Stegostoma tigrinum: one gene and its partners. The protein of the gene in region 3 interacts with the protein of the main gene of each other region in a pairwise test. Links are inferred from orthologs where the notes say so. Each region holds a gene or a part of one and is shown on either strand. Other genes may lie near its edges. The genes, in order: bend3, hmmr, morn4 and ran-binding protein 3.

Evidence for each region.
Region 1: the proteins of morn4 (region 3) and bend3 interact in binary tests that used the Homo sapiens proteins (3 or more experiments, as listed by UniProt). The two-hybrid records come from large-scale screens. The link is inferred for Stegostoma tigrinum from reciprocal best matches to the Homo sapiens genes MORN4 and BEND3.
Region 2: the proteins of morn4 (region 3) and hmmr interact in binary tests that used the Homo sapiens proteins (3 or more experiments, as listed by UniProt). The two-hybrid records come from large-scale screens. The link is inferred for Stegostoma tigrinum from reciprocal best matches to the Homo sapiens genes MORN4 and HMMR.
Region 4: the proteins of morn4 (region 3) and ran-binding protein 3 interact in a two-hybrid assay, tested with the Homo sapiens proteins (2 studies listed by BioGRID). The two-hybrid records come from large-scale screens. The link is inferred for Stegostoma tigrinum from reciprocal best matches to the Homo sapiens genes MORN4 and RANBP3.

What each region holds. Positions count from the first base shown.
Region 1 is NC_081357.1:28,190,921-28,198,423, forward strand, and holds the start of bend3 (BEN domain-containing protein 3), read left to right. Parts: upstream 1-4,500; 5' UTR 4,501-5,354; intron 5,355-6,647; 5' UTR 6,648-6,654; coding exon 6,655-6,757; intron 6,758-7,503. UniProt on the Homo sapiens protein: Transcriptional repressor which associates with the NoRC (nucleolar remodeling complex) complex and plays a key role in repressing rDNA transcription.
Region 2 is NC_081366.1:12,723,990-12,731,172, reverse strand, and holds the start of hmmr (hyaluronan mediated motility receptor), read right to left. Parts: upstream 3,018-7,183; 5' UTR 2,951-3,017; coding exon 2,905-2,950; intron 1-2,904. UniProt on the Homo sapiens protein: Receptor for hyaluronic acid (HA). Involved in cell motility. When hyaluronan binds to HMMR, the phosphorylation of a number of proteins, including PTK2/FAK1 occurs.
Region 3 is NC_081373.1:12,102,130-12,109,820, reverse strand, and holds the start of morn4 (MORN repeat-containing protein 4), read right to left. Parts: upstream 3,002-7,691; 5' UTR 2,888-3,001; intron 1-2,887. UniProt on the Homo sapiens protein: Plays a role in promoting axonal degeneration following neuronal injury by toxic insult or trauma.
Region 4 is NC_081383.1:25,610,564-25,617,786, forward strand, and holds the start of ran-binding protein 3, read left to right. Parts: upstream 1-4,213; 5' UTR 4,214-4,292; coding exon 4,293-4,314; intron 4,315-7,223. UniProt on the Homo sapiens protein: Acts as a cofactor for XPO1/CRM1-mediated nuclear export, perhaps as export complex scaffolding protein. Bound to XPO1/CRM1, stabilizes the XPO1/CRM1-cargo interaction. In the absence of Ran-bound GTP prevents binding of XPO1/CRM1 to the nuclear pore complex.

The DNA of each region.
Region 1 (7,503 bases), on a different chromosome or scaffold from region 3:
TCCACCCAGCCTGCACTACATTGGACATTATGGGCAATTTACTAAGGCCAATCCACCTAACCTGCATATAGATCATAGATTATAAAATCCCTATAGTGTAGAAACAGGCCCTTTGGTCCAGCAAGTCCACACCGACCCTCAGAGCACCCACCCAAACCCATCCCTCTATAACCCACCTAATCTACATGTCCCTGAGCACAATGGGGAATTTAGCATGGCCAATCCACCTAGCCTGCAAACATCTGGACTGCGGGAGGAAACTAGAGCACCTGGAGGAAACCCACGTAAACATGGGGAAAATGTGCAAACTCCACACTGACAGTCGCCCGAGAGTGGAGTTGAAGCCGCGTCTCTGGCGCTGTGAGACAGCACATCTTTGGACTGCAGGAAGAAACCCACACAGACACAGGGAGGATGCATGAACTCCACACAGACAGTCGCCCAAGGGTGAACAGAGTGTGATACAGATAGTTTTGTTATAACGTGTGTTTTGTTAACACAAGTTGGCAGTAACCTGATTGATGGAGGCTGTTTGGATATCACGAGCTTTCTGCTGTACACATATAGCAATTTTCTATAGCAATTTCCCTGTAACAATTTTCTATAGTAAGAGGTCACTCAAGAATGTTATTGCATTAAAGGAGAACTACTATATAGCCATCTTTTTCAGAGCGGCAGTCAGTGTCTAGTGGAGTTACTCAGCAATCAATGTTCAGTATGCAAGTTATACACTAACAATCTGGACGATGGACTGAGGACATCATTACTAAACTTGCAGGTGATGCAAATAAAGGTGAAAGAACTAGTAGTGTTGAGGAATTGCAGAGGCAACAGAAGGACTTCTGTCCAACCCATTGTATCCTCACTTCCGTTCTCCTGCACATTTCAGTCTCTCCCCTTCATTTGCAGGTCAAACCAATCGAAGGATCTCTCTGATGTTTATTTCCTCCCTTCTCACCAACTTTGTCTCCTCTCTCATCCCCTGTCATTATATGTTTTTCTAAAAAAAAATACAAACCAGGAACAAAACATTGGACAGGCAATGAGAGTGGGCAAAGAAGTGGCAGATGGAACACATTGTGGGAAAGTATTAGATTATGCACTTAGGGAGGAAGAAGAGAGGAGTAAACTATTTTCTACATGGGAAAAGGTTTGTAAATCTGAAGTACAAAGGGACTTAGCGTTCCAAGTTGAGGATTCTCTTAAGGTTAACATGCAGATTCAGTTGGCGGTTAAGATGTTAGCATTTATTTCAAGTGGGCAAGATTGCAAGAGCAGAGGTGTACTACTGAGGCTCTATATAAGGCTCTGGTCAGACAACATTTGAAATATTACGAGCAATTTTGGGCTCAATATCTAAAAAGGGATGTGCTGAGAGACCCCAGAGGAGGTTTAAAAGAATGACCCTGAGGATGAAGGGTTTCTCAAATGCGAAGCGGTTGAGGACTCTGGGTCGGTACTTGGAGTTTAGAAGGATGAGGAGGGTGAGGTTATTGACTTACTTCCCAAGCTGGCTTGTTTTTGTTAGGTGACACCTTCACTGGAGCCTCCAATGAAGTGGCGTTGTTCTACTCCACTTGGAATTTAAACTGTCCGATCCATTACAGTAAGTACTGTCATTCCCGGTTTTGATCTGTATGGGTTTGTATGTGGGGTCCAATTCTACATGTTTGTTGATTGAAGAATGGGTGGAGGACAATGCCTCTAGGAATTCCCGTGCGTGTCTATGTTTGGTTTTGGCTCCTGTGGTTACCTTGTCCCAGTTAAACTGATGGCCTTCATTGTCTCAGTGGACAGATATTAAGGAGAGTTCATTGTGCTGTTTTGCTGCTCGCTGATGTTTGTGTATTCTGGTGGCTAGTTTCCTTCCTGTCTGTCCGATGTCATGTTGATGGCGTTGCATGGTATTTTGTAAACCACGTTCGTTCTGCATGTTGTGGGAATGCAGTCTTTAATCCTTGTAAGCGTTTGTTGTAGAGTGGGTGTGGGCTTGTGGGGGCCACCCTGATTCCTACTGGTCTTAGGAGTCTTGTCGTCAGTTCCGATACATCCGGATGAGGAAGGTTTTGCGGAAAATTATGAATACTGAGAGGCCTGGACAGCGTGGACATAGATAATAAAATGTGAGGCTGGATGAACACAGCAGGCCCAGCAGCATCTCAGGAGCACAAAAGCTGACGTTTCAGGCCTAGACCCTTCATCAGAGAGGGGGATGGGGTGAGGGTTCTGGAATAAATAGGGAGAGAGGGGGACGCGGACCGAAGATGGAGAGAAAAGAAGATAGGTGGAGAGGAGAGTATAGGTGGGGAGGTAGGGAGGGGATAGGTCAGTCCAGGGAAGACGGACAGGTCAAGGAGATGGGATGAGGTTAGTAGGTAGGAGATGGAGGTGCGGCTTGGGGTGGGAGGAAGGGATGAGTGAGAGGAAGAACAGGTTAGGGAGGCAGAGACAGGTTGGACTGGTTTTGGGATGCAGTGGGTGGAGGGGAAGAGCTGGGCTGGTTGTGTGGTGCAGTGGGGGCAAGGGACGAACTGGGCTGGTTTTGGGATGCGGTGGGGGAAGGGGAGATTTTGAAGCTGGTGAAGTCCACATTGATACCATTGGGCTGCAGGGTTCCCAAGCGGAATATGAGTTGCTGTTCCTGTAACCTTCGGGTGGCATCATTGTGGCACTGCAGGAGGCCCATGATGGACATGTCATCTAAAGAATGGGAGGGGGAGTGGAAATGGTTTGCGACTGGGAGGTGCTGTTGTTTATTGCGAACCGAGCGGAGGTGTTCTGCAAAGCGGTCCCCAAGCCTCCGCTTGGTTTCCCCAATGTAGAGGAAGCCACACCGGGTACAGTGGATGCAGTATACCACATTGGCAGATGTGCACGTGAACCTCTGCTTAATGTGGAAAGTCATCTTTGGGCCTGGGATAGGGGTGAGGGAGGAGGTGTGGGGGCAAGTGTAGCATTTCCTGCAGTTGCAGGGGAAGGTGCCGGGTGTGGTGGGGTTGGTGGGCAGTGTGGAGCGAACAAGGGAGTCACGGAGAGAGTGGTCTCTCCGGAAAGCAGACAGGGGTGGGGATGGAAAAATGTCTTGGGTGGTGGGGTTGGATTGTAGATGGCGGAAGTTGATGCGTTGTATCCGGAGATTGGTGGGGTGGTGTGTGAGAACGAAGGGGATCCTCTTAGGGTGGTTGTGGCGGGGGTGGGGTGTGAGGGATGTGTTGCGGGAAATGCGGGAGACGCGGTCAAGGGTGTTCTCGACCACTGTGGGGGGAAAGTTGCGGTCCTTGAAGAACTTGGACATCTGGGATGTGCGGGGGTGGAATGCCTCATCCTGGGAGCAGATGCAGCGGAGGCGGAGGAATTGGGAATAGGGGATGGAATTTTTGCAGGAGTGTGGGTGGGAGGAGGTGTATTCTAGGTAGCTGTGGGAGTCGGTGGGCTTGAAATGGACATCAGTTACAAGCTGGTTACCTGAGATGGAGGTTGAGAGATCCAGGAAGGTGAGGGATGTGCTGGAGATGGCCCAGGTGAACTGAAGGTTGCGGTGGAAGGTGTTGGTGAAGTGGATGAACTGTTCGAGCTCCTCTGGGGAGCAAGAGGCGGCGCCGATACAGTCATCAATGTAACGGAGGAAGAGGTGGGGTTTGGGGCCTGCGTAGGTGCGGAAGAGGGACTGTTCCACATAACCTACAAAGAGGCAGGCATAGCTGGGGCCCATGCGGGTGCCCATGGCCACCCCCTTAGTCTGTAGGAAGTGGGAGGAATCGAAAGAGAAGTTGTTGAGGGTGAGGACGAGTTCGGCCAGGCGGATGAGGGTGTCGGTGTAGGGGGACTGGTCGGGCCTGCGGGACAGGAAGAAGCGGAGGGCCTTGAGGCCATCTGCATGCGGAATGCAGGTGTATAGGGACTGGACGTCCATGGTGAAATTGAGGTGTTGGGGGCCAGGGAATTGGAAGTCTTGGAGGAGGTGGAGGGCATGGGTGGTGTCACAGACGTAGGTGGGGAGTTCCTGGACCAAAGGGGAGAAAATGGAGTCCAGATAGGTGGAGATGAGTTTGGTGGGGCAGGAGCAGGCTGAGATGATGGGTCAACCAGGGCAGGCAGGTTTGTGGATTTTGGGAAGGAGATAGAAACAGGCTGTGCGGGGTTGGGAGAACAATGAGGTTGGAGGCTGTGGGTGGGAGGTCCCCTGAGGTGATGAGGTCATGAATGGTGTTGGAGGTGATGGTTTGGTGCTCGGGTGTGGGGTCATGATCGAGGGGGCGTTAGGAGGTGGTGTCGGAGAGTTGGCGTCTGGCCTCGGCGATGTAGAGGTCAGTGCGCCATACTACCACTACGCCACCCTTGTCTGCGGGTTTGATGGTGAGGTTGGGGTTGGAGCGGAGGGCTGCCCGTTCTGCGGGGGAGAGGTTGGAGTGGGTGAGAGGGGTGGAGAGGTTGAGGCGGTTAATGGTGGGTGAGAGGGGTGGAGAGGTTGAGGCGGTTAATGTGGGTGAAAGGGGTGGAACATGGATATGTTTCCACACATAGGAGAGACACAGGCCCGAGGGCACAGCTCAGAGTGAAGGGGTCTCCCTTAAGAACTGAGATAAGGAGGAATTTCTTCAGCCAGACAGTGGTGAATCTGTGGAACTTATTGCAGCAGAACGCTGTGGAGGCCAAGTCATTGAGCGTACTTAGGACAGAGATAGATTCTTGATTTGTGAGGGGATCACGGATTACACAGAGAAAATAGGAGAATGGGGGTGAGAAACAAAGCAGCCACGATCTAATGGCAGATCACACTTGATGGGGTGCATGGCCTAATTCTCCCATAACTTCTAGTCTATGGTGATTCCCCGACCCTTTTCTCCCCAAAGGTTTTCAACCTCTTTCCCTCACCCCTCTCTCCCTCACTCCTTTACCAGCCTCCTACCTCCATTCTCTCGTGTTTTGTTGTTTTCTCTCTCTCTCTCCCCCGGAGTTTTCCTTCCTTCTCTTGCTGCTCTTTCCTGCCTGTCAGTTTGTCTCTGGCCTCCCGTGTTTCTCATTTCCCCCTCGCTGGTCTCTTTTCGTGCCCCCCGTCTTTTTTTTCCTCTCTCAATCCTCCTCTCTCTCTGTCCCTCACTGCCCCGGTCCTTTCTCCCTGTCTCTGATGTTTCTCCCTCTCCCTGTGTGCGTCCTTTTCGCGTTTCCCTTCTCTCGTGTTTCTCTCCTTCCTTTCTTCTCTCCCTCTCGCCTGGCTGCGGAAATGACACAGAGTCACGTCACGGAGCAGACACCCGGAGTAACAGAGAGAGAGAGAGAGAGAGAAAAACACGGCTCCATTTTCCACAGGCGGCCGGGGAGGGAGCTCCGCTTGACTCAGCCGGAGCGGCCAGGTAAGTCTCAGGAGGAGGCAGCAGGACAAGGCAGCAACTCAGAGAATGGGGCTATGCAGGAGAGCGAGGGAGAGGTGGGAGGAGGGCAGGGAATGTGACACACACAGGAGAGAGATTTGTGTTTTATCTGCAGTGATCTTTATCCCTAAGCAAAGACAAACACTGCCTCTGAGAGCAGGGTCATGGCGTTACTGCTGTACGTGCCCTTTAACCAACCCCAGCGCTGAGCTCAACTGCTTTGCAATTGCACCCCCTCCTCTCTCTCAAGTTTGTAAGAAATTGTTGGTGATTTCGAAGCAACGTGCAATCTCACCCCCTTAGGAGGCAGTGAATTTTCAGGCTAAAAGGGAAGTGGAATGGGTTTTTTTTATGTTCCACGCTGAGTTATGTCTCGGGTTTTTTTTGCTGGGTGAAGACACAGCGCCCTCATAGGATTATCGTCCCCCTCCCCCGTGCCAGGCACATGGCAAACTCACTCAACTCCAGTTCGGCTCAGATTTACTGTAGCCAAATTGTACGCAATTTCATTGGGCTATCCCCCCCGCTACAAATCTCTTTAATGTATAAATCTCACCACTTCACATAAAAATAGATAAGACCACGCTGCATCAAATCAAATATCATACGTTTTCAGCGTCAAAATAAGCATTTCTCCTAATTATTAATGTTCCTTCTCAGATTGGGTCTTTCCACTTTTTAAATGCAGTTGCTTCTTTTACTTTGTAACAATAAGTTGTGGAAGCCAACTACACTTGACCTCACATTAAGCTGCATTAAATCTATTTCTGTTAATTGTGAATTTGAAAGCATAAAAGTGCATTTTCAAAAAATGTATTGGAATGACTACGGTGTGAGCAGAGGGTAGTTGGACAACAGCAGCTATTTCTTGAATGTTTACAGTTTGATTTAGTTCATGTGGAGAAAATGCAATCAGTATATTTTGCAACAGAATGAAACAGTAGCTGTTTTTTCTTAAAAAGTTAACAAAACACTTTGTCTGGAAAACAAAAATGGAGCTGTATATGGTTCATTTCTTTCTCAGACATTTATAATTCACTTCGGCAGATTAAAAAAGTTTTGTAAGAGACACTGGAAAGGGTGTACTTAATTCTTAGGCAAAATTAGCTGTTGAATGAATTAATTTCAGGAAGCTGATAAAATCTAAGTTGTTTATTTAAGGGCAGAGTGACTGAATGTATAACTTTGTTTCTGGTTGATGCAGATAACTTTACTAGCTGTTAAATAACACGCATTTGATTCGTTTGTTTTTAATCGTAGAGTTGTTTATTCCAGGTAGAAAATGAACATTGCGGAGCAGAATGGGGGACCTGGACCCAGAGTAATATTCATAGTTCGAAATCCTTCAGTCAGTACGAATGAAGAGTTAGGAAAAGGAGCACAAGGTAAGTTCCTTTATAAGTTCTTTGATGGGAAGGAGAAGAGGCCTTCATGATGTAATGGAAGTCATGCCACACACAGACATAAAGCAAAGATTTGCAGCCTGCTTCAGCAATACATGGGTAAGGATTTTAGTAGAAGTACTGACATGCCCTGTAGCACAAACTTGAATGGCTTTATCTTCTGTTCTTTTCTTTGTTAACTTCTGGTAATTTATGTCATTTCAATAGTATTTCTTTGGCACTAAGTGCACACGAGGTGAACAAATGGTGTAGTATCACCATTTAGCAAAAACACAGCTTGCAATTTAACTGGAATTGGTAGGTACCAAAATAGAATGTTCTACAATGAGACGTGATTAGCTGGGAAGAGCAATCATAATATTAATTCTATATCGAGTTTGAGGTTGATTTATTTCTGTAAAGTACTAGGTTGTTAACTCTGAAGAAGAAACCAAATTACATGTGTATGAAAAGCAAATATTGGAAATAAAATAGTGTATTCCTTAGTTGTATTTGGATGTTCTGAACTACAAAATTATCGTAAATGCATTTCATAAACTTATCCTCCTCACTATTACTGCAAATTTGTTTGATAAAGTCTACATGCAGATTAGAGTCCCCAGCATAACTATATTACTCAAGTTACATACACTTCTAATTTCTTCTTTTATATTCTGCCATACACTACAGCTACTTTTGCAGATCAATAAACTGTCTCGACTCTAACTGGTTTTACATCTGGATTTTAT
Region 2 (7,183 bases), on a different chromosome or scaffold from region 3:
TAACCAAAATAAACCCCAATCATCTACTGCCTGTAAGAGATCCCACCTATTTATCTTTTTGAGTATGGACTGAAAATGAGAAAAATGCACACTACTTTAAAAAGGGAGAATATACAAGGAGTTATTTGCAGATTTGGAAAATGAGTGAAGGTGATTGATACAAATGTTACAATGTTACTTTTAGAAAGACCATGCCTAGATGAAACAGCTCTACTGATGTGTTAGGAGCAACTCTGCTTGGACAATCTATCTTTGGTTGACTTTTCAATTGGCATAATTTGTTATGGGGTCAAGTGAACTCAGCATAGCAAAAAGCCTCTGATTGATCATGTTGCAATCTAACAGATCCTAAGGGGAATGAAAACAGAAGACATTAGAAATTGCCCAAAGCTTGCAATATCAACATCTCCCTATCTGTCCGCTCTCTTGCTCTGGAAAATTGTATCCTCAAATTCTGTTGAAAGAGCAAGGAGGAACTATGTTCAGAGCTGTCAAAATGACGAATACTGAAGTTCACCGGAACAAGACAGACCTGAGTCCAACCAAATCGCCAGTGAACTGCAAATTGATCATCAAACACTCAAACGGATTCTGAAGCCAATTCATCTAGTTTTAAGATCTTGGACCTGTGATACAAAATTATGTTCCTGATGTTCTTTTTCCTCTCCATTGATAATATTTGTGTCTTGTCTGTTTCCCTGTGCACCCGAGTGAATATTTTAAAGATTAAGTTATATAAATTATAAATCCAGTTTGAAATTCATCTAACCAACATTTTACCATTGTCATGAATAGTTTTATTGTGATCAATCATTATTTTCTTATTAATAGAAAAGGCGGGTGTGCTAAATCTGTCAACCTGAATTATAGTTAAATAGAATTGGGCAATTCAGGGGTTTAATCAAATTTTCACATTTGTGACAACTCAGGGAAAGATGGGTTTGAATTACAATGCACTATCCTCAGCGAGTTGTGACACAATGCAAACCTCATATCTCCAACTTTCAACTTCTTGACTTCATCATAGGTTCAACTCAAACAGCACCATCAACATTGCCTTAAGTATGAATATACAAAATATCCTTGTGCCTAATCTCAGTCCTCCCCAGTGACATTCTTGAATGAAGATAATTAAAATTTCCTTCTGTCCAAAATTTTTGACAATGGTACAAAGTTATCCCCTTGGGGCTCACTGTTGTGTTACACATGGGGACACATCATTTTAAAAAGCTGTTACTGAAATATGGATTGTGATTGAAGGGTATATGCTAGCCATAATCTGATGCTGTTTTTTGTGTCAGCACAGGAAGTGCTATAAGGAATTCTTGCAGTCCCAAAAAGAATTCTTTCAATCCAACATAAAGGGACGGAGGGTTAACAACTGGAGGTGTGGAGGGCTCCTCTGGCCATGAATACTAAGGGAAATCTAGCAGCTCCATTGTCATTGAGACATTATAGGCTATTAGAAGTACAGAATTGTATTTAGCCACAATTTATGATCAAATGGTCGAGCACATCCCCCTCTACTGATAGCACCAAGGCAAGGGACTGAGCCTTGTTTATTATGTTTTCTGCACACAACCAGGAACAACACAAGATATATCAAAAAATGAAACGCTGAAGCAGTGAAATTACCAAGGACCACATACATGCAAACCTAGCTGAAGCAGCAAGCAACTGAGTAAGCAAAGGATCTCACAATCGACAGGTTGGATCAGATCCAAATTCTCAAAGTCCTGCCAAACACCCAACACGAATGATGGTGTAAAAGTAAATTAACTGAAGGAGAAGCTCCATAAAGATCTCCATTTTCAATGATAGAGAATCAATACAAAATATATTTGCAACCATCTTTAGCCAGAAGTCCAAAGTAGAGATCCATCTCTATCTCTACCTGGAAGGCCCACTATCATCCTGTCAAATGAAACCAACAAATCAGAATGTTCTCACAGACATTTATTCTGTCCTGTGAGAGTTTACGTCATTCTTAACCTGTGAAAAGTGGGCCTTCTTGAGAAGCTGATCACTTGGGATGTAGACACAGCATAAGCCAGCAAACCTCATTCTCCATGACCGCATGACTGGGGAAAATCTGTTTCAATCAGGACATTGGAATTTGCACACCTGTCCTTGAAGACCCTGCGAAGACACAACTGGCGGAAACAGCCTGGCGCTTTAGTTGCCTACACCATGCTGGCCTGGATGGGTGCAGGACCAAACAGGACAAAAAGCAGTCTGCGTGACTAGCGCCATATCTACAAGCATCCATTCCATCCACCAACCCCCAGTCAGTAGTGTGCATCATCCACAAGACACAGACTCAGTGGGCCAAAGGGCTTTTCTTGCATGCAGATTTCCAACACCCTCCCATTGAGAGAAATTTCTCCTTCAATCACTTTTGGAACACCATCCAGGACAAAGCAGCTCGCTTGATTGGCACTACATCCACAAGCATCCACTCCCTCCACCACCGACACTCAGTAGCAGCAGTATGTACCAGCAACAAGATGCACTGCAGAAATACAAAGATCCTTAGACAGCACTTCTCAAACCAACATTCGCTTCCATGTAAAAGGACAAGGGGAAAGTAGATACTTTTGATTTAATCTGTCATTGTCACATGAACCTTGGTGCAGTGAAAAGTTTTGTTTTGCGTGCAGATCGTACCAGGCAAAGTGCATCAGGCCAACAGAACGTGGGAAACAACAGCAGCTTCTGAAGGAGCAATAGGGAACGGGCAGTAAATGCTGACCCAGCCAAAGACCGTCCACGTCCCATGAACATGACAAAAAGCTGACAGCGGCTGCGATCAGACCTCAACCTGCAGCGGAGCCGTCACTCACCCACACACAGTGAAAGTTCTCGGAGATCGGATTCCCTGTGAGCCCCGGGAACGCAACTCACCCACTTTGTCGTTGAAGCGTTTAAGCGGCGCTCTGGGGAATGACATGCCGTCTCGTCCCGTCCGAGAGCTGCGACCGTCAGTTGATGGAATAACTCGATCCGGCTCCCCCGCCAACCGCCGGCCGTTTGAATGTTCGGTCACATGACACCGCGCACCAATCAGAGGCCCGGGAACCGCCAACGGCCTCCTGGTCCGCTCACGTGACCGTTATGGGGGCGGGCCTCTTCTCTATCAACCGGGTAACCATCACCCCGACCACCAGAGTTCCTCGCCCCCACTGTTACCATGGTAATCCTCCATCACGCCGTCACCATGGAAATGCTCAGCGCCTGTCGCCGTGGTAACTGTCCCCACCATTTCACCATGGTAACTCTCCCCAGACTGTTCTCCCAACATTCCCTGTTTACTTCCAACCCCCGCAAAGATTCTTTCAAATTCTGACCTCCCCATCCATTTCCCCGACCCCAACACTTCACCCCAACACCTCCTGGACCAGGAGACCCTCCACACTTCACCCCAACACCTCCTGGACCAGGAGACCCTCCACACTTCACCCCAACACCTCCTGGACCAGGAGACCCTCCACACTTCATCCCAACACCTCCTGGACCAGGAGACCCTCCACACTTCACCCCCACACCTCCTGGACCAGGAGACCCTCCACACTTCACCCCAACACCTCCTGGACCAGGAGACCCTCCACACTTCACCCCAACACCTCCTGGACCAGGAGACCCTCCACACTTCACCCCAACACCTCCTGGACCAGGAGACCCTCCACACTTCACCCCAACACCTCCTGGACCAGGAGACCCTCCACACTTCACCCCAACACCTCCTGGACCAGGAGACCCTCCACACTTCACCCCAACACCTCCTGGACCAGGAGACTCTCCACAATTCACCCCAACACCTCCTGGACCAGGAGACCCTCCACACTTCACCCCAACACCTCCTGGACCAGGAGACTCTCCACAATTCACCCCAACACCTCCTGGACCAGGAGACCCTCCACACTTCACCCCCACACCTCCTGGACCAGGAGACCCTCCACACTTCACCCCAACACCTCCTGGACCAGGAGACCCTCCACACTTCATCCCAACACCTCCTGGACCAGGAGACCCTCCACACTTCACCCCAACACCTCCTGGACCAGGAGACCTTCCACACTTCACCCCCACACCTCCTGGACCAGGAGACCCTCCACACTTCACCCCCACACCTCCTGGACCAGGAGACCCTCCACACTTCACCCCAACACCTCCTGGACCAGGAGACCCTCCACACTTCATCCCAACACCTCCTGGACCAGGAGACCCTCCACACTTCACCCCAACACCTCCTGGACCAGGAGACCCTCCACACTTCACCCCAACACCTCCTGGACCAGGAGACTCTCCACACTTCATCCCAACACCTCCTGGACCAGGAGACCCTCCACACTTCACCCCAACACCTCCTGGACCAGGAGACCCTCCACACTTCATCCCCACACCTCCTGGACCAGGAGACCCTCCACACTTCACCCCCACACCTCCTGGACCAGGAGACCCTCCACACTTCACCCCCACACCTCCTGGACCAGGAGACCCTCCACACTTCATCCCCACACCTCCTGGACCAGGAGACCCTCCACACTTCACCCCCACACCTCCTGGACCAGGAGACCCTCCACACTTCATCCCAACACCTCCTGGACCAGGAGACCCTCCACACTTCACCCCAACACCTCCTGGACCAGGAGACCCTCCACACTTCATCCCCACACCTCCTGGACCAGGAGACCCTCCACACTTCACCCCCACACCTCCTGGACCAGGAGACCCTCCACACTTCACCCCCACACCTCCTGGACCAGGAGACCCTCCACACTTCATCCCCACACCTCCTGGACCAGGAGACCCTCCACACTTCACCCCCACACCTCCTGGACCAGGAGACCCTCCACACTTCACCCCCACACCTCCTGGACCAGGAGACCCTCCACACTTCACCCCAACACCTCCTGGACCAGGAGACCCTCCACACTTCACCCCAACACCTCCTGGACCAGGAGACCCTCCACACTTCATCCCCACACCTCCTGGACCAGGAGACCCTCCACACTTCATCCCCACACCTCCTGGACCAGGAGACCCTCCACACTTCACCCCAACACCTCCTGGACCAGGAGACCCTCCACACTTCACCCCAACACCTCCTGGACCAGGAGACCCTCCACACTTCATCCCCACACCTCCTGGACCAGGAGACCCTCCACACTTCATCCCCACACCTCCTGGACCAGGAGACCCTCCACACTTCACCCCAACACCTCCTGGACCAGGAGACCCTCCACACTTCACCCCAACACCTCCTGGACCAGGAGACCCTCCACACTTCACCCCAACACCTCCTGGACCAGGAGACCCTCCACACTTCACCCCAACACCTCCTGGACCAGGAGACCCTCCACACTTCATCCCCACACCTCCTGGACCAGGAGACCCTCCACACTTCATCCCCACACCTCCTGGACCAGGAGACCCTCCACACTTCACCCCAACACCTCCTGGACCAGGAGACCCTCCACACTTCACCCCAACACCTCCTGGACCAGGAGACCCTCCACACTTCATCCCCACACCTCCTGGACCAGGAGACCCTCCACACTTCATCCCCACACCTCCTGGACCAGGAGACTCTCCACACTTCACCCCAACACCTCCTGGACCAGGAGACCCTCCACACTTCACCCCCACACCTCCTGGACCAGGAGACCCTCCACACTTCACCCTCACACCTCCTGGACCAGGAGACTCTCCACACTTCATCCCCACACCTCCTGGACCAGGAGACCCTCCACACTTCATCCCCACACCTCCTGGACCAGGAGACCCTCCACACTTCATCCCCACACCTCCTGGACCAGGAGACCCTCCACACTTCATCCCCACACCTCCTGGACCAGGAGACCCTCCACACTTCACCCCCAACACCTCCTGAACCAGGAGACCCTCCACACGTCACCCCCACACCTCCTGGACCAGGAGACCCTCCACACTTCACCCCCACACCTCCTGGACCAGGAGACCCTCCACACTTCATCCCCACACCTCCTGGACCAGGAGACCCTCCACACTTCACCCCAACACCTCCTGGACCAGGAGACCCTCCACACTTCACCCCCACACCTCCTGGACCAGGAGACCTTCCACACTTCATCCCCACACCTCCTGGACCAGGAGACCCTCCACACTTCACCCCCACACCTCCTGGACCAGGAGACCTTCCACACTTCACCCCCACACCTCCTGGACCAGGAGACCCTCCACACTTCATCCCCACACCTCCTGGACCAGGAGACCCTCCACACTTCATCCCAACACCTCCTGGACCAGGAGACCCTCCACACTTCACCCCAACACCTCCTGGACCAGGAGACCCTCCACACATCATCCCCACACCTCCTGGACCAGGAGACCCTCCACACTTCACCCCAACACCTCCTGGACCAGGAGACCCTCCACACTTCACCCCAACACCTCCTGGACCAGGAGACCCTCCACACTTCATCCCCACACCTCCTGGACCAGGAGACCCTCCACACTTCACCCCCACACCTCCTGGACCAGGAGACCCTCCACACTTCACCCCAACACCTCCTGGACCAGGAGACCCTCCACACTTCACCCCCACACCTCCTGGACCAGGAGACCCTCCACACTTCACCCCAACACCTCCTGGACCAGGAGACTCTCCACACTTCACCCCCACACCTCCTGGACCAGGAGACCCTCCACACTTCATCCCCACACCTCCTAGACCAGGAGACCCTCCACACTTCACCCCAACACCTCCTGGACCAGGAGACCCTCCACACTTCACCCCCACACCTCCTGGACCAGGAGACCCTCCACACTTCATCCCCACACCTCCTGGACCAGGAGACCCTCCACACTTCATCCCCACACCTCCTGGACCAGGAGACCCTCCACACTTCACCCCAACACCTCCTGGACCAGGAGACCCTCCACACTTCACCCCAACACCTCCTGGACCAGGAGACCCTCCACACTTCATCCCCACACCTCCTGGACCAGGAGACCCTCCACACTTCACCCCAACACCTCCTGGACCAGGAGACCCTCCACACTTCACCCCCACACCTCCTGGACCAGGAGACCCTCCACACTTCATCCCCACACCTCCTGGACCAGGAGACCCTCCACACTTCACCCCAACACCTCCTGGACCAGGAGACCCTCCACACTTCACCCCAACACCTCCGGGACC
Region 3 (7,691 bases):
TAACTCAAAGATCTGGTTCTAGTGGCCAGGAAGGAAGCACACAAAATACTTAAAGGAATGGTAACCCACTGAAACCCAGACACTTTTTGTTTCAATAATATACTTTATTCAAAAAATATTGTTATGCACATACATAATCACTGAAGCAGTTTGGTTCACATGAAGAAACAAACAAACATTGGAGTTTGACTCTATCCAACAAACAACCCAAAGGCACGTCATACTTGTACAAGACTATATTTATATATACTTGAGGCATCTGGAGGGTCCTACAACCATATGGACCCCCACTTAACTTTAACAGAAATCCTTTAGACAATGGTGATTCCCCATGGCACATTGGCGGTAGCTGCCCAAAGCTTTTGTGCATCCATCAGCACACAGTCGGAGACCTTGGAACGTATAGTCTGCAACACTCGCTCAGGGTCAACTCCTTGCTCTGGAAGGGCTAGCAAGTCTCAAGCAGATGAAAGAGCATCTTTCACCAAATCGATAGTCTTCCAGGTGCAATCGTTGTTTATCTCTGTGCGTCCCAGGGAGCAGACTGTAGAACACAGAGTCCTTCATCATAGAGCTGCTCAGGATGAACCTTGACAAAAACTACTGCATGTTTCTCCAGATTTCCTTTGTAAAAACATGTTCCAGAAGGAGATATCTGACAGTCTCTACCCCCAACCCAACACCCGGCAGCCAGTTTGAGGGCAGCGTGTGGTGGTGCAGAGTCTGGGCATACATGAAGGATCTCACAGGCAGTGCCCTTCTCAGTGGCCAGGTGATATCTTGGTGCTTGTCAGAAAGTTCTAGCCATGTCAGTCATTTGGCAGAATGCTTCAATCTGTTCAGGGAACAACTTAACAGAATCCCAGACTACTAATCCAGAGACACAAGTTCAAATCCCATCACTGCAAATCAGAATTGAATTCATTCAAATTCTGGAATAACAAGATTATCTCAGTTGTGATGATCAGGAAACTATGGGACTGTTGTTAAAAAATAAAAGAGGTTCCCTAATGTCCTTTAAGGAAGGAAACCAGCTGCCTTTACCTGGTGTGGCCTATTTATTTCCAAAATATCTATGCTCCTCAAATTCGGCCACAAGTATCCCTAACTTTAAAATCACTAGATGGTTGATGATCACACCTTCCAGTTTCCAAGACTCCAGGTTTTGGATTTCCCTCCTTAAACCTCTTTAACTTGCCACCTGATTTGTCTCCTTCTGTATATAACATGTTAAGAAATGTCCTAAAATTTCTCTCTCTGGGAAATATTTTCTCATGTGGCTCAGAATATTTTGTTCTAAAAATGCTGTGAAATTCTTTGGAATGCCTTGTTATGTCAAAAGCACTATACAAGTACAAACATAAAGTGCTGGATAACCCCAGGTCTGGCAGCATATATGGCTGTTAATTTACATTTGAGAAGATAACTTAAGGAAATAAACAATTAATGTTGGCCTTGCCAGCAATTCTGACATTCTGAATGAATTTTAAAAACGTAAGTATCTCAAAAGACAATTCAGTGCTGAATGATCGTGAAGACACTCTTCAATCACAATTCTACATCACAAAGTTCAAAAAGTACTTTCTTGGCTGCAAAGTACTTTCAGTACCTTCAGGGTGGTGAAAAGTGCTGCATAAATGCAAGTCTTTCTTTCTGGCTCCCAGGATAAGCAAACTGAACTAAAGAACTCTGCCAATGATGCAGCACTGTTCAGAGTCTTAGGCTATACTATCACAAGGAACATCTACTGTGGTGACTGGATGTCAAAGACTTTTGTTTTGCAACACAGCTTTTAAAAGCAAACGTTGGAAGATCTATAGACTCACCAGCCAACACAACGTGAGGTGGAAGGGTGGGTAAAACAAATCATTCTTATCACTAAATACAACAGTCAACAAACTTTATGCAATTCCACTACACATAGCAACTAGAAAAATAACTTGTGATGCTATGGCATCTTTCAGAATAACTAAATGCTTCACAGCCAACGTGATACCATTTAGAAGTGTAGTCATTGTTGTGAATCATGGCAGCCAAAAGCACACTGCAAGCTCTTACAAACAAAGTGATAATATCTAGATCATTTGCTTTAGGTGTTGGTGAAGGGATAAATATTGACTCAGCGCACCAGGGAACACTCCCCTGCTCGAGTAAATTGGTGGAATGGGATCTTTTACACCCGCTGAGGACATCTTGGCTCTACTTCTCAATGTCACATGTGAAAGGTGTTACCTCTAATATCACAACACTCCCTCTGTATGGCATTGGTAACATAATCTTTCATATTATATACGCAGATCTCTAGATTTGGCATTGCACCCAAAAACTTACCTCAGAAGTGAAAAGAACTATACACCGGCTCTCAATTGGTACCTCAGAATATGCACAGAAGGAAGATGCCATCCTCCATCCCTGGTCTGAGATTAGGGAGAAACTGACCTCAGCATCACTGAATTAAAATAGGTGGGAGAAGGGGGAAGGCAGAAATCACTTCTTTTCATTGGTTGTTCTGGAAAGTCAATACTTGAACGCACACGTCTGGTCAGGAACATGATCAGGCTTATAATACACTGCCCTACATAGCCAAATATCTAACAAACATTCATTATCCAATCTCGCTCATCAAAAATGGGCAACTTACATCCCCTCAAACAGCAAACGCCTAGTGTCCTTATTTTTAAACTAAAAACACAGATGTAGAAATAAGTGAATCAAGTATAAATTTGGACTTAGCAATAACGTACAGGAGGAAAAAATCTGAATGGCCTACCAGCTGAGAATTCAAATTCGGGGGGGGGGGGGGGGGACAGAAAAGAATAACAAAAAGAAACACTGATGCTGAAAATGGACTCTTTTAAAGCTTTTTTTAAAAAAAGTGCCTACTCACCCTGTAGTGCTAAACAGCCTGTGGATCATGCAACAGGGAGCCAGGTTTAAATTGATGAATATTCAGCTCCCAGGCCCTGCCTGAGTCAGACATGTCCTCCTGACACAGACCCCACACCCCTCAACAACGCGCTCCTTCATTGGTGTCCTCCCCACCACTGGCTCCGTTACCCTTGGCAACGGCCTTGAGGCGGCTGGCTGCCATCTCTGTGAGGGGCAGAAGCAGCATTTATGTATTGTAAATATGTCATTTATCGGTGCACAGAGCCGGGGATTTATGCAGATTTTAAGTTATTTTAATTTGTACAATACGCTGGCGAAACGGTGATGCCTACAATTCGGTTTTGTTCTTAAAACGATGCAATTATCTGAAGGCGTCCATGTCTGAGCGGGGCATATGGAGTGGCCCTGTGAGTTTTTTTTGTGAATGATTATTTTGATTGCTCAAGCAAAGTTCTTGAGTTGTTTCCTGATGGAGGGTGATTGAGCTCGAAGCGTTAGCTCTGTTTCTGTATCCCTAGATGCTGCTTGTCTGACCTGCAGTGCTCCTCCAGCCACACATTTTTTCAACTACTGCCAGACCTGCTGAGTTTTAACAGCCTTTTTGGCTTTGTGTACACAGATCTGCCCAGTCTCAGTAATTTAAAATGAAACAAGCCACTTCACTGCTTGCTTCCATTATTCAGTTGCGTATGCAGCAGAACATCCCTGCATGCTCCATGACCACCATCATCCTCAGCCCCTTTGCCCATACAAGTTGACATCACTAACCCACCAGCCACTCCATATCTTCCAGCTGAAGTTAAGTGGGAGTCTGTTCAGTTATCAGACCCTTCTGGTGCCTAAATGCATGTAAATGTAGTATTATGTATGTTACCGAGGTCTTGGGTGGTTTGCATAGTCAAACTCCAATGTTTGTTTGTTCCCTTGATATGCTACTGTACAGAACCGAATTGTATTTATGCAAAAAATTTTTAATGAACAAAGTATAGTTCTGAAATGAAAAAGAAACAGCCATTCCATGTACAAGTGTCTATTAGCTTCTAGAAACCCTCATATCTTGTATTGAAATGTACATAGTTTCTGGTCATATTTGATAAATGTTTTCCAATTTTTAGTTGTTTTGAGACAACGAAGAGTGCAAAGTTCTTGACTGAGAAATGTGATATTTTCATTGTATTTTCTGTAATATTGGCTTGAACTGTTTTGTAATTTACTTATAAATAATTTATGAATAAAGAATATATTTTCATGTAAACAAGAACACCAGCCACACCACCTATTCATGGCTGCTTACGGAACAACTCTCTTATTACATCAACACTTGCCTTTGGAGCTAAGGCAAAACTACAACTTCTGTGCTTCTGCCAGACCGCTTTGTGCACCTGGAAACACACGCATCTGCACTCAATGCATCTTAAGGCTCTTTGCTTGCTTTTTTAGTGTTCACTCACTTTGTGCTTACTTAGGCGCTGCTAGACTTTGTGGCTTCATTGCTGTTTAGCACAGAGGCAGAGGCAAGAAGCTTGTCAAAATAGGGAGCATTTGACAGTTAGCTACGTCAGCAACACACCTCCAGCATTTGGCAACAGTCTATGCGGCAAACACACTGCATGTGCTTCAAGCAAATGGGTGAGCCAACCCTATTACATTCTTTTCAACTGTCTGGATCATTATCACTGAACTGTGTCATCTGCTGGAACAGGACTTGGTGGAAATCCTGTCACAAATCCTGTCAGCAAGTTCATAGCTGCCTTGAATTTTTATTCCAGTAGCTCGTTTCAAGAAGCAACTGGGGATTAATGTGGTATCTTCCAATCCTCAATCCATGATACATCCAGGATATAACTGATGCTATTTTCTTCAGATCACAGTTGTTTGTGTCCTTCCCCAATGACTAGAAAAGTCAAACACCCTGGGTAGTGGGATTCTTTAGCATCACTGACTTGCCCCAGATGGCCCCTTTGCTTTGAGAGCATAATCGCACCAACTGGCAAGGTTCATCAACAGAAAAGGTTTCCACTCTTTAAATGCTCAAATTATACGTCGCCATCAACACTGAATCTGGGAGGTCCAAGCCAGATATTCTGGGAATGCTGTGACTCAAATGCACAGAGAATTCAGAAGTTTCTGCTTCCTTTGAATGTCCTTTAACCTTACAGTGGTAATTAACACAGAACATAGGACATTACAGCACATTACAGGCCCTTCGGCCCTCGATGTTGTGCTGACCTGTCATACCAATCTCAAGCCCATCTAAACTACACTATTCCATGTACGTCCATATGCTTATCCAATGACGACTTAAATGTACCTAAAGTTGGTGAATCTACTACCGTTGCAGGCAAAGCGTTCCATACCCTTACTACTCTCTGAGTAAAGAAACCACCTCTGACATCTGTCCTATATCTTTCACCCCTCAATTTAAAGCTATGCCCCCTCGTGCTCGCCGTCACCATCCTAGGAAAAGGGCTCTCCCTATCCACCCTATCTAACCCTCTGATTATCTTATATGTCTCAATTAAGTCACCTCTCAACCTTCTTAATGAAAACAGCCTCAAGTCTCTCAGCCTTTCCTCGTAAGACCTTCCCTCCATACCAGGCAATAATTGTTGGGAGACAAGGGTTTCCCCTCCAAACATGGCTCATGACACCTTTACACAACCCTGAGACTGATGCAGACAGTGCTGCTGACATCTCACCAGCAGCAGACTGTAGTTTCCTTGAAATGCAATCTTGCTGCTTGGACTGTCTGTTGGCTTTTCAGTATAGTCTTGAAGGTGTCTTGCGTCATTGTGGCATACTGGAGCCGAAAAACACAGGAATGTCCATGATGCAGAGGAAATAAGAGATCAACAGCAATCTTTTGAAGAGGAAGATGAGGATGTGGTTCTGGACATTTATAAGGAGACCCACCTCAGTCAGCAAGACAGAGCAGTGCATCTCTGAGTGTGTGAACCCAGGACGAATAAGCAGGGTTTGATGATTCCCATTAATCTGGGAAACAACCCCTGCCTAACGCAAAGGATGTGTGGATCCTGTTGCAATCCTTGAGCTTTTCTTGTGCTCGCTAAATGTCTTATTTTCATTCTGATTGTATACTTGCTCTCTTCAGGTGAAGCCACTTTCAAGTATCAAGTCACATTACATGTTGTATTGACTGTTAGGGAAAAGACAGAGAGTAACATCACATGGCACTAAAGTTAGGTGGCTCTTAAGTCAGCATATCATATCTGCACAGTGAATTCTGTCATTATATAATGGGAGGAACTCTGAGAAATTTTCTTCTGACCTTTCTGTCCTCAAGTAATCCTTCAATGTTCAACGTACATCCAGATTGAAAAGTTGACCTGAAGTGCTTGAGCATCTTGTAGGACAACTTTGAATTATGAGAAGAAATTTTTTTTTTCTGCCAAAGAAAGTGCATGGTATAATGAGGAAGATTGAACATGTGAAATGAACACTATACACCTCTCAGCTTTGAATGGCTGCATGCCCCCTTGAAAACCTGATGAAGACAAAAGGGCTTTCCCTACAGAGATGACTGAGATGTGTGGAAACATCACTGATTCTTTATTCTCACTCATGACGAGGTGCAAGAGTGAAATAGTTTTGCAGGCCAGACCCTAGTACAGTCTCTGCATACTGCGCTCATCCTCAGTGTTGTCTACATCGAAGTACACCAGGGCTGCAGTTATTAGTGCCACAATTCAAGGATCTGAGGCATCTGAATATTTCTGTAGTCAAGGAGTCAACTGCTTGTGACAGACGAATAATGTTTAGCCATCATACCTTTCTAGATGGATTAGCCGTGGAAAATGCAGGATTACAGGGATCGGGTACGGGGTGGGTCTGGGTGGGCTGCTCTTTGGAAGGTCAATGTGGATTGATGGGCCAGATGGCATGATTCCGCACTGTAGAGATTCTATGTCCGAACAGGCTTCTCAGACTTCACAGCTTACATGTAGTTTTTATGTTTGTTAGATGAGCTGATAATTAGAGTGAAGGTCATGTAAAAACAGAGATTCTCAGCAAGCTGCATGGGTTCTTGCATTGAATTGTCAGGAGCCCAGATCTCAGATGATTTTGAAGCAGGAACAGAAATTGCTGAAGAAAATCACAGGTCTGGCAGTATCTTTTGACCCAGTTCTGAAGCAGGGTCATTGGACTCAAAATGTTGACTCTGCTTTGTCTTCACACCTCTTGGGTTTCTCCAGCAATTTGTTTCAGATCTTCAGCATCTACAGTTCTTCATTTTATCTCAGATTAACTTAAAATCAGAACAGGTTGGGAGATAGTCCTTCTCTCACTTTCAATATATAACTGTTCATTACCTTGTTTGTAAAGTTATTTGTCTATCAGGTGCTTATTCTTATTCAGAACAGCTTCTGCTGTTATTTTTAAACGCAAATAACAAACATGGCCGTCTCATCTATTTCACTTGTTACAAGTCCAAACGCATTTTTTCTGAAGAAGGGTCCAGATCTGAAACATCAGCCTTCCTGCTCCTCTGATGCTGCCTGACCTGCTGTGTTCATCCAGATCTACACCTTGTTATCTTATTTTTGAATATGGTGGTATGTTAGCCTAAAATACATTCTGTTGTTTCAGACTTTGAGACATCCCAGGTCTTTGTGTTGGAATGAGTTCCATCGTAATACAATGAACCCTTCCGATTCTTACACCCATCCAGATGTCTTTTAAATGTTGTAATTGTACCGGCATCCACCACTTCCTCTGGCAGCTCATTCCAAACACGCACCTACCTCTGTGTGAAAAAGTTGCCCTTTAGGTCCCTTTTATAT
Region 4 (7,223 bases), on a different chromosome or scaffold from region 3:
CTTTTTCCTAGGGATGGGAACTGAAAACTAGAGGGCATAGATTTAAGATGAGAGATGATAGATTTATAGGAAAGACATAGACAAAATGGAAAGTGTGCAAAGAAGACTTATGAGGACTTTTGTCAGGACTAGTAGGCGTGAGTTATAGGGAGATGTTGGTCAGGATACGACTTTATTCCTTGGAATGTAGGAGAATGAGGAGTGACCTTTTTGAGCTATATAAAATCATCAGGGGCATGGATAGAATGAATGCATATAGTCTTTTTCCTAGGGATGGGAACTGAAAACTAGAGGGCATAGATTTAAGATGAGAGATGATAGATTTAAGAAGGACCTGAGGGGCAACTTTTTCACACAGAGAGTTGTGTATATATGGATTGGGTTGCAGGAGAAAATAGTTGATGCTGGTACAATAGCAACATGTAAAAAAACACATTTGGAATAGGAACATGGAAGAGAAGAGTTTAGAGGGATATGGACCAAATGTAGGTGATTTGAACTAGCCAAGTGGGCACCATGGTCAGCATGGACCAGATTGGGTTGAAGGTCCTGTTTCCGTGCTGTATTACTCGATGACTCTTATGAACACCGTAGTCTTAAATTCTACGCCTGCATTAACAACGGAAAGCATGGCATTTGGTCTCCTAACTACTTTCTGAATCCCAGCTATTTGTGACATATGTCAACTAATTCAATGGGGGAATCAACTGCGATATTGCATTTCCCGCAACACATCCCTCACACCCCACCCCCACAATAACCGCCCTAAGAGAATCCCCCTCGTTCTCACACACCACCCCACCAACCTCCGGATACAACGCATCATCCTCCGACACGTCCGCCATCTACAACCAACCCCACCACCCAAGACATTTTTCCATTCCCACCCTTGTCTGAGTTCCGGAGAGACCATTCTCTCCGTGACTCCCTTGTCCGCTCCACACTCCCCTCCAACCCCACCACATCCCGCACCTTCCCCTGCAACCGCAGGAAGTGCTATACTTGCCCCCACACCTCCTCCCTCACCCCCCTCCCAGGCCCCAAGATGACTTTCCATATTAAGCAGATGTTCAACTGCACATCTGCCAATGTGGTATACTGTATCCACTGTACCCGTTGTGGCTTCCTCTACATTGGGGAAACCAAGCGGAGGCTTGGGGACCGCGTTGCAGAACACCTCCACTCGGTTCGCAATAAACAAACGCACCTCCCAGTCGCGAACCATTTTAACTCCTCCTCCCATTCCTTAGACGACATGTCCATCATGGGCCTCCTGCAGTGCCACAATGATGCCACCCGAAGGTTGCAGGAACAGCAACTCATATTCCGCTTGGGAACCCTGCAGCCCAATGGTATCAATGTGGACTTTACCAGCTTCAAAATCTCCCCTTCCCCCACTGCATCCCAAAACCAGCCCAGCTCGTCCTCTCCCCCCCACTGCATCCCAAAACCAGCCCAGCTCGTCCCTGCCTCCCTAACCTGTTCTTCCTTTCACTTATCCCTTCCTCCCACCTCAAGCCGCACCTCCATTTCCCACCTACTAACCTCATCCCACCTCCTTGACCTGTCCGTCCTCCCGGACTGACCTATCCCCTCACCACCTATACTCTCCTCTCCACCTATCTTCTCCTCTATCCATCTTCAGTCTGCCTCCCCCTCTCCCCATTCCCCTCTCTGATGAAGGGTCTAGGCCCAAAACATCAGCTTTTGTGCTCCTGAGATGCTGCTTGGCCTGCTGTGTTCATCCAGCCCCACACTTTGTTATCTTGGATTCTCCAGCATCTGCAGTTCCCATTATCTCTGCAATATTTCAATGTTTGCTACTGTAAAAACTAGGGGGATGTGTGAGTTGTGATGAGGATATCAAGGTGGTTCAGCTTATTTAGACAAGTTGAGTGAGTGAGTAAATAGACAGCAGACACAGGACAACATAGATAAATGTGAAGTTGTCCACTTTGATACGAAAAGCAGTGTGGCAAAGCATTATTTAAATGGTGGTAGACTGGGAAATGTTAATGTATGACACGACACAGGAGCAGACATAGATCTTCAGCCCATCATGTCTTCTCTGCCATATAATGAGATCAAGACTGATGTGATAATCCTCAACTCCACTTTGCTTCATTTACAAAGTGACAGGTGCTTATGCATCAGTCATTGAAGACAAACGTGTAGGTCCAGCAAGACATTAGGAAGTCAAATGGTATGTTGGCCTTCATTGCAAGAGGGTTTGGGTATGGGATTGAAATCATTTTACTGCAGCTGTCCAAGGCCTTTTGAGATCACAACTGGATACTATATGTAAAAAAGTATATTGTTGCCGATAGAGGAAATGTTATGCAAGGTCACAAGACTGAATCGTGGGATGGCAAGTTTATTCAAAAAGGACAGATTATATTGACTGGATGTGTTTTTACTGGAGTTTAGCAGAATGAGAGGTGGTCTCATTGAAACTTAAAATTCTGATAGGGATTGACAGACTGCCTGGAGGGATGGTGATTTCCCTGGCCAGCGATCCCAGAACAAGGGGTTACAGTTTCAGGGTACAAGGTTACATATTTCAGACTGAAATGAAGAGAAATTTCTCCACTCAGTAGGTAGTGAACATGTGAAATTCTCCTCAAGATGAAGCCGTAGTATTGAAATAACAGATCAGCCATGATGATGTTGAAAGGTGGAACAAACTCGATGCACTTATTTTCTATGTTTCTAGCCTGTTCTGTTTTCAAGGATAGGTGCATTCTAAAATTCCAAAGGACCTCTGTTCCTCTATAAGAGTCAGTATCATCCTGGTTAACATATATCCTCTTGTCTATTGTACTACTTCTCTTGTTGGAATTTTCTTTTTCATTTTCTGCCCAACCAACCTGCTCATCTACATCTTTCTGCAGTCTAAACCTTTCTTTTCACTGTCAAAACTCACACTGTTGCCAAGATTCATTTCAGTTAAAATATTTTTATCATGCATCTTGGATTACAGCCTACATCAAAAATATAAACTAAAAAACCCAAGGGTCAAGTACGGAGTCCTGCAGATCTCCCATGGAAACATGACTTCCAGCAGCAAAATAACCTGTCAACAACTAACTTTTGCTTCATGCCACTAAGCCAATTATGGATCCAAGGTGGCACTCTCTTTTGGCTTATACATTTTTGACCAGGTTGCTACGATTTTGTGAAAAGCCTTGCTAATATCCAAATAGGTTGTATCCATGCTGATTTTTAAAAATTAGTCGACTTTTTGAACTGAGATTGCTCTAGACACTACTGATCTTCTTGGTATTTAGCATAGACAACATTTGCTTGAGAGAGATGCCTCTGATTTTACATGCAGTTGCCTCCACATTGTGCTCATAGCACTACAGAAGAGAAACAAAAATTACTAAAACAAAACAGGAGAGTAGAACTAGGCACGTTGGTCTTGCAGAGACAGGATGAATCGCAACGCCCACTGTGTTGCAACCATTTTATGTTTCTAATGATGAATTATATCAATTTCAGCTACAGATCACATTCCCACATTGTAGCAGCGAGGCCAGCCATGTTGAACCCTCAAAAGATGTCCACCTCTCACTCTAAAAACAACAGACAATGCTGCAAATACGCAGCAGGTTTGGCACTATCACTGGGGCGAAGAATGTTCCAACTCCATGACCTTGATCATCTATGGTCGGTCCCACAGATGCACTATAACCAGCATTTCCGTTTTGACTTCAAATTCCCATCATCCGGGATGCATTGTTTTTGTTTTGACGCACTCTAATCCCAGTGGCCTGTTTGATATAAACTTCCTCAAACAGAACGAGTTAGAGATTAAACTCGGCTCACCATGCGGAGGCGCATGCGCTCTGCTGCCGCGAACGAGTCATTTAACAGGCGATTTATTCCCGTCCCTGCTCTGTCGATCACTCACGAAGCCGCCGCTGCCTGTTGGGTGACTGACTGACTATGAAACCGCTTCCTGAAAATAATCTCCGATCTCTCCACCCCTCACCGTCCCTCCCCGACAACGGACAGGTCACCAGCTGCAAGCAGGCAGCGCAAGCGCACTACACGGACCGTTGGTCATTGACGGTTAGCCCCGCCCTGAGCAACATGTGCGCGTGCGCTCTCTTGGAGACTTCTGTCATCGGTAGTTTCCCTGCAAGCACCGCCGGGCACTCAGCAACAAGTGCGCACGCGCGATTCTGCACCCCTCCCCACCCCCAAAAAGTGGCGCCTCTGAGGATAAGCCGCATGCGCATTGCTACTTTCCGTTCGCGGTGAATTGTGGGGACGCGGAGAATCCTAAAATGGCGGATCTAGCCAACGAAGGTAAGCAGGTGAAAATGAGCATGGAGCGCGGCTCAAGCGAGGTGTTGGGGGTGTAGCTTCTTTAGTCCAAGATGTGCACGCAGCTGCCTCAGGTTTCTGCCTCAGGTTTCTGCCTCAGCCTCAGTGCAGTGTCGGTGTCCGCTGAATGGGTAGACTAAGGGGAGGAACGAGTTGCACACACCCACAACAAAACACCGGCTAACCAGGCCAAAGCGTCAAACAAATCAGTAACAAAATCAAATAGTGTTAATCGTTTGGATAGTTACAAGAGGAAGGGGTAAGGCTCGAAAAGAAAGTATGTGTCTGTTAGAGGTAAACGGTGAGAAACAGAAAGTGATTGAAACATAAACCTGCCAGAAAACGGGAAGGGGGAGCGTTCGAGAAGGAGAATTAGGAAATGAACGGTGAGATAGAAAGCTCCGAAAGTGATTCGGAAAGAAAACAGTAAGAGGGAGAAAGCCACCAGGGCAGTGGGTGGGGTATAATAACAGGGTTAAGGGAAGAATCAGTGTGGGTAGCAGCAAGAAAAGAAGGTGGTTGGTAAGGGAGTGATCGGGGAGGAGACACAAGGGGAAATTAGTAATGCGGCAAGATTAGATTCAGCGAGTTGTGATCAGACCGGACGGTGGTGTGAACGAGTGAAATGAGGGAAATGGCAGAAGGAAATTGTGATGAAAGCAGATGGGAAGAGACAAGTTGGATAGAGGGGGAGTAGGAGGGTACAAAGTGCAGAGAATGTAATTTGGAGTATGCCACTAACTTGTTGAGCCTGTCCATCGTTCAGTAAGGTCATGGCTAATGTGGGTTGAGGTCTCCACTTCACTTCCTTTTTGACCAAAAATCTCTCAAGTTCAATCTTGAATAAATTTAAAGTCCCAGCATCCACTACCTTTTAGGGAAGTGTGTTCCACGTACAATAGATTCAGGAAAAATAATTGTCAGCTCTGTCTTACAAAAGAGAACTCGTCTTAAACTGTATCTGTCGGTTTCAGTATCTGCAAGAGGATATATCCTCCTGGCATCTATTGTTCACTGCCCTTGAGATCTTGTATGCTCAATTCTGGATGTAGGTCTAACCTGTTCAACCTTTATCATAAAATAAGCCCTTCACCCCAGTCCAAAGTGATGGAGGTGAGTGAAGAACCTTGGTGCTAGAGAAGAACGTGAAGGAGTAAGGGACAGATGAGAAATGCAGAGATGAATAAGAGAAATCAATAGAGAAATCATAGGCTATTTAGCCTCACTGTGTTCAATTACAGATTAGCTGTGGTTTAGCTCCGTTTTCCAACCTTTCCTCCATATCCTGGTGATTTCTCATCAGAAGATTTCAGTTGACTCAGAATCTAGAATTTTCTCAACACACTGCTTGTGTGGGGAAATATGCTAGCTAATCCCTCTCCCAAATTGCTAACCTATTTTGAGGTTGTGCATCCATATTCTGGATTCTCTTATCTCAGGAAATGGTTTCTTTGTACCTACCCTATCAAATCTCTCTGATTTTAAGGACCTTATTTGGATCAAGCTTCTAAACAAAATCAAACCAAGTTTTGCAAACTCTTCATTTACTCATTTTATCCCTGATAGCATCATAAATGAGGATTTGTAGGTCATTTGAGAGCAGATAGTTCTGGTAGAGGTGAAAACTATTCTCACGAAAGGGAAGGGAAGGATTTCAAGTCCCTGGATGACTAAAGATAAGCAGATTAAAATGAAACAGGAAGAAGTTTATGATAAAAGGACAGTTTCATAATTGAGTAGACAACCAAATCAAAAAGAACTGGTCCTGACCCGAAACGCTAGCTTTCCTGCTCCTCTGATGCTGCGTGGCCTGCTGTGTTCCTCCAGCTCCACGGTGTGTTTTCTCTGACTCCAGCAATGACAGTTCTTATTATTGCTGACAAATATAATGAGTGGGATAACTGGTTAGAATCATATCTAGTACCAAGATAGATAATGGCAGTTGATCAAGGCCTTCAGCTCAGCCTGAGGACAATGCTGCTGTAACTCTTCAGATGGCCTCCAACCCCAACTATTGGTGGCTGTTTCATCAACAGCTTTTCTCCCATGCTGAGTAGGAATGGTCATTGTGATTGTGCAGTTGTCAGTACCACTCACAATACCACAACCACTGTAATAGTCAATGTCTTTATGCAGCAAGTTCTCGATATCATTCAGGCATGGACTGATAGTAACAATTAACATTTCTGCTGCACAAGTATTGTGCAATGACCAATTTCCGAAGGGCAAATCTAACTCTCACTCCTTGATTAATACAAAGAACTGTGGATTGTGAAAATTCAGAACAAAAGCAGAAATTGTTGGAGGAACTCAGCAGGCATAGCAGCATCTGTGGAAAGAAAGCAGAGTTAAAATTTCAAGACCAGTGATCGATCCTTCTTTGCTGTTTGATATTCAATGGCATTACAATGCATATATCAGGAGTGTGATGAAATCCACTCCACTTGGAAATATAAGCATAGAAAGTTGGAGTAGGCCATTCGGCTCTACAAATCTGCTTTGCCATTCAAAATGTTCGTGGTAGATCAGCCAACGCAGTACCTTCTCCTGCTTTTTCCCCATGCCAGTTGATCCCTTTAGTCCTAACAAGTATATCTAAGTTCTTCTTGGAAGCACTCACATGTTTTAGCCTCAGCCACTTCAGTGGCGGAGTAAATACACAGGCTCATTACACTGGGGGAAGGATTTCTTCCAACATTCAAGAAGCACGACACCAGAACAAAGCAGCCCACTTGAGTGGCACCTCATCCACGATATTAAACACCAATTCCTTCCACATCCAGTGGTAGCAAGACTGTATCAAAAACAAAATGCTTTGCAGAAATCTGCCAAGCCTCCAACAACAGCACCTTCGATATTCATGACTTCTGCCACAAGATCAATGGGCATAA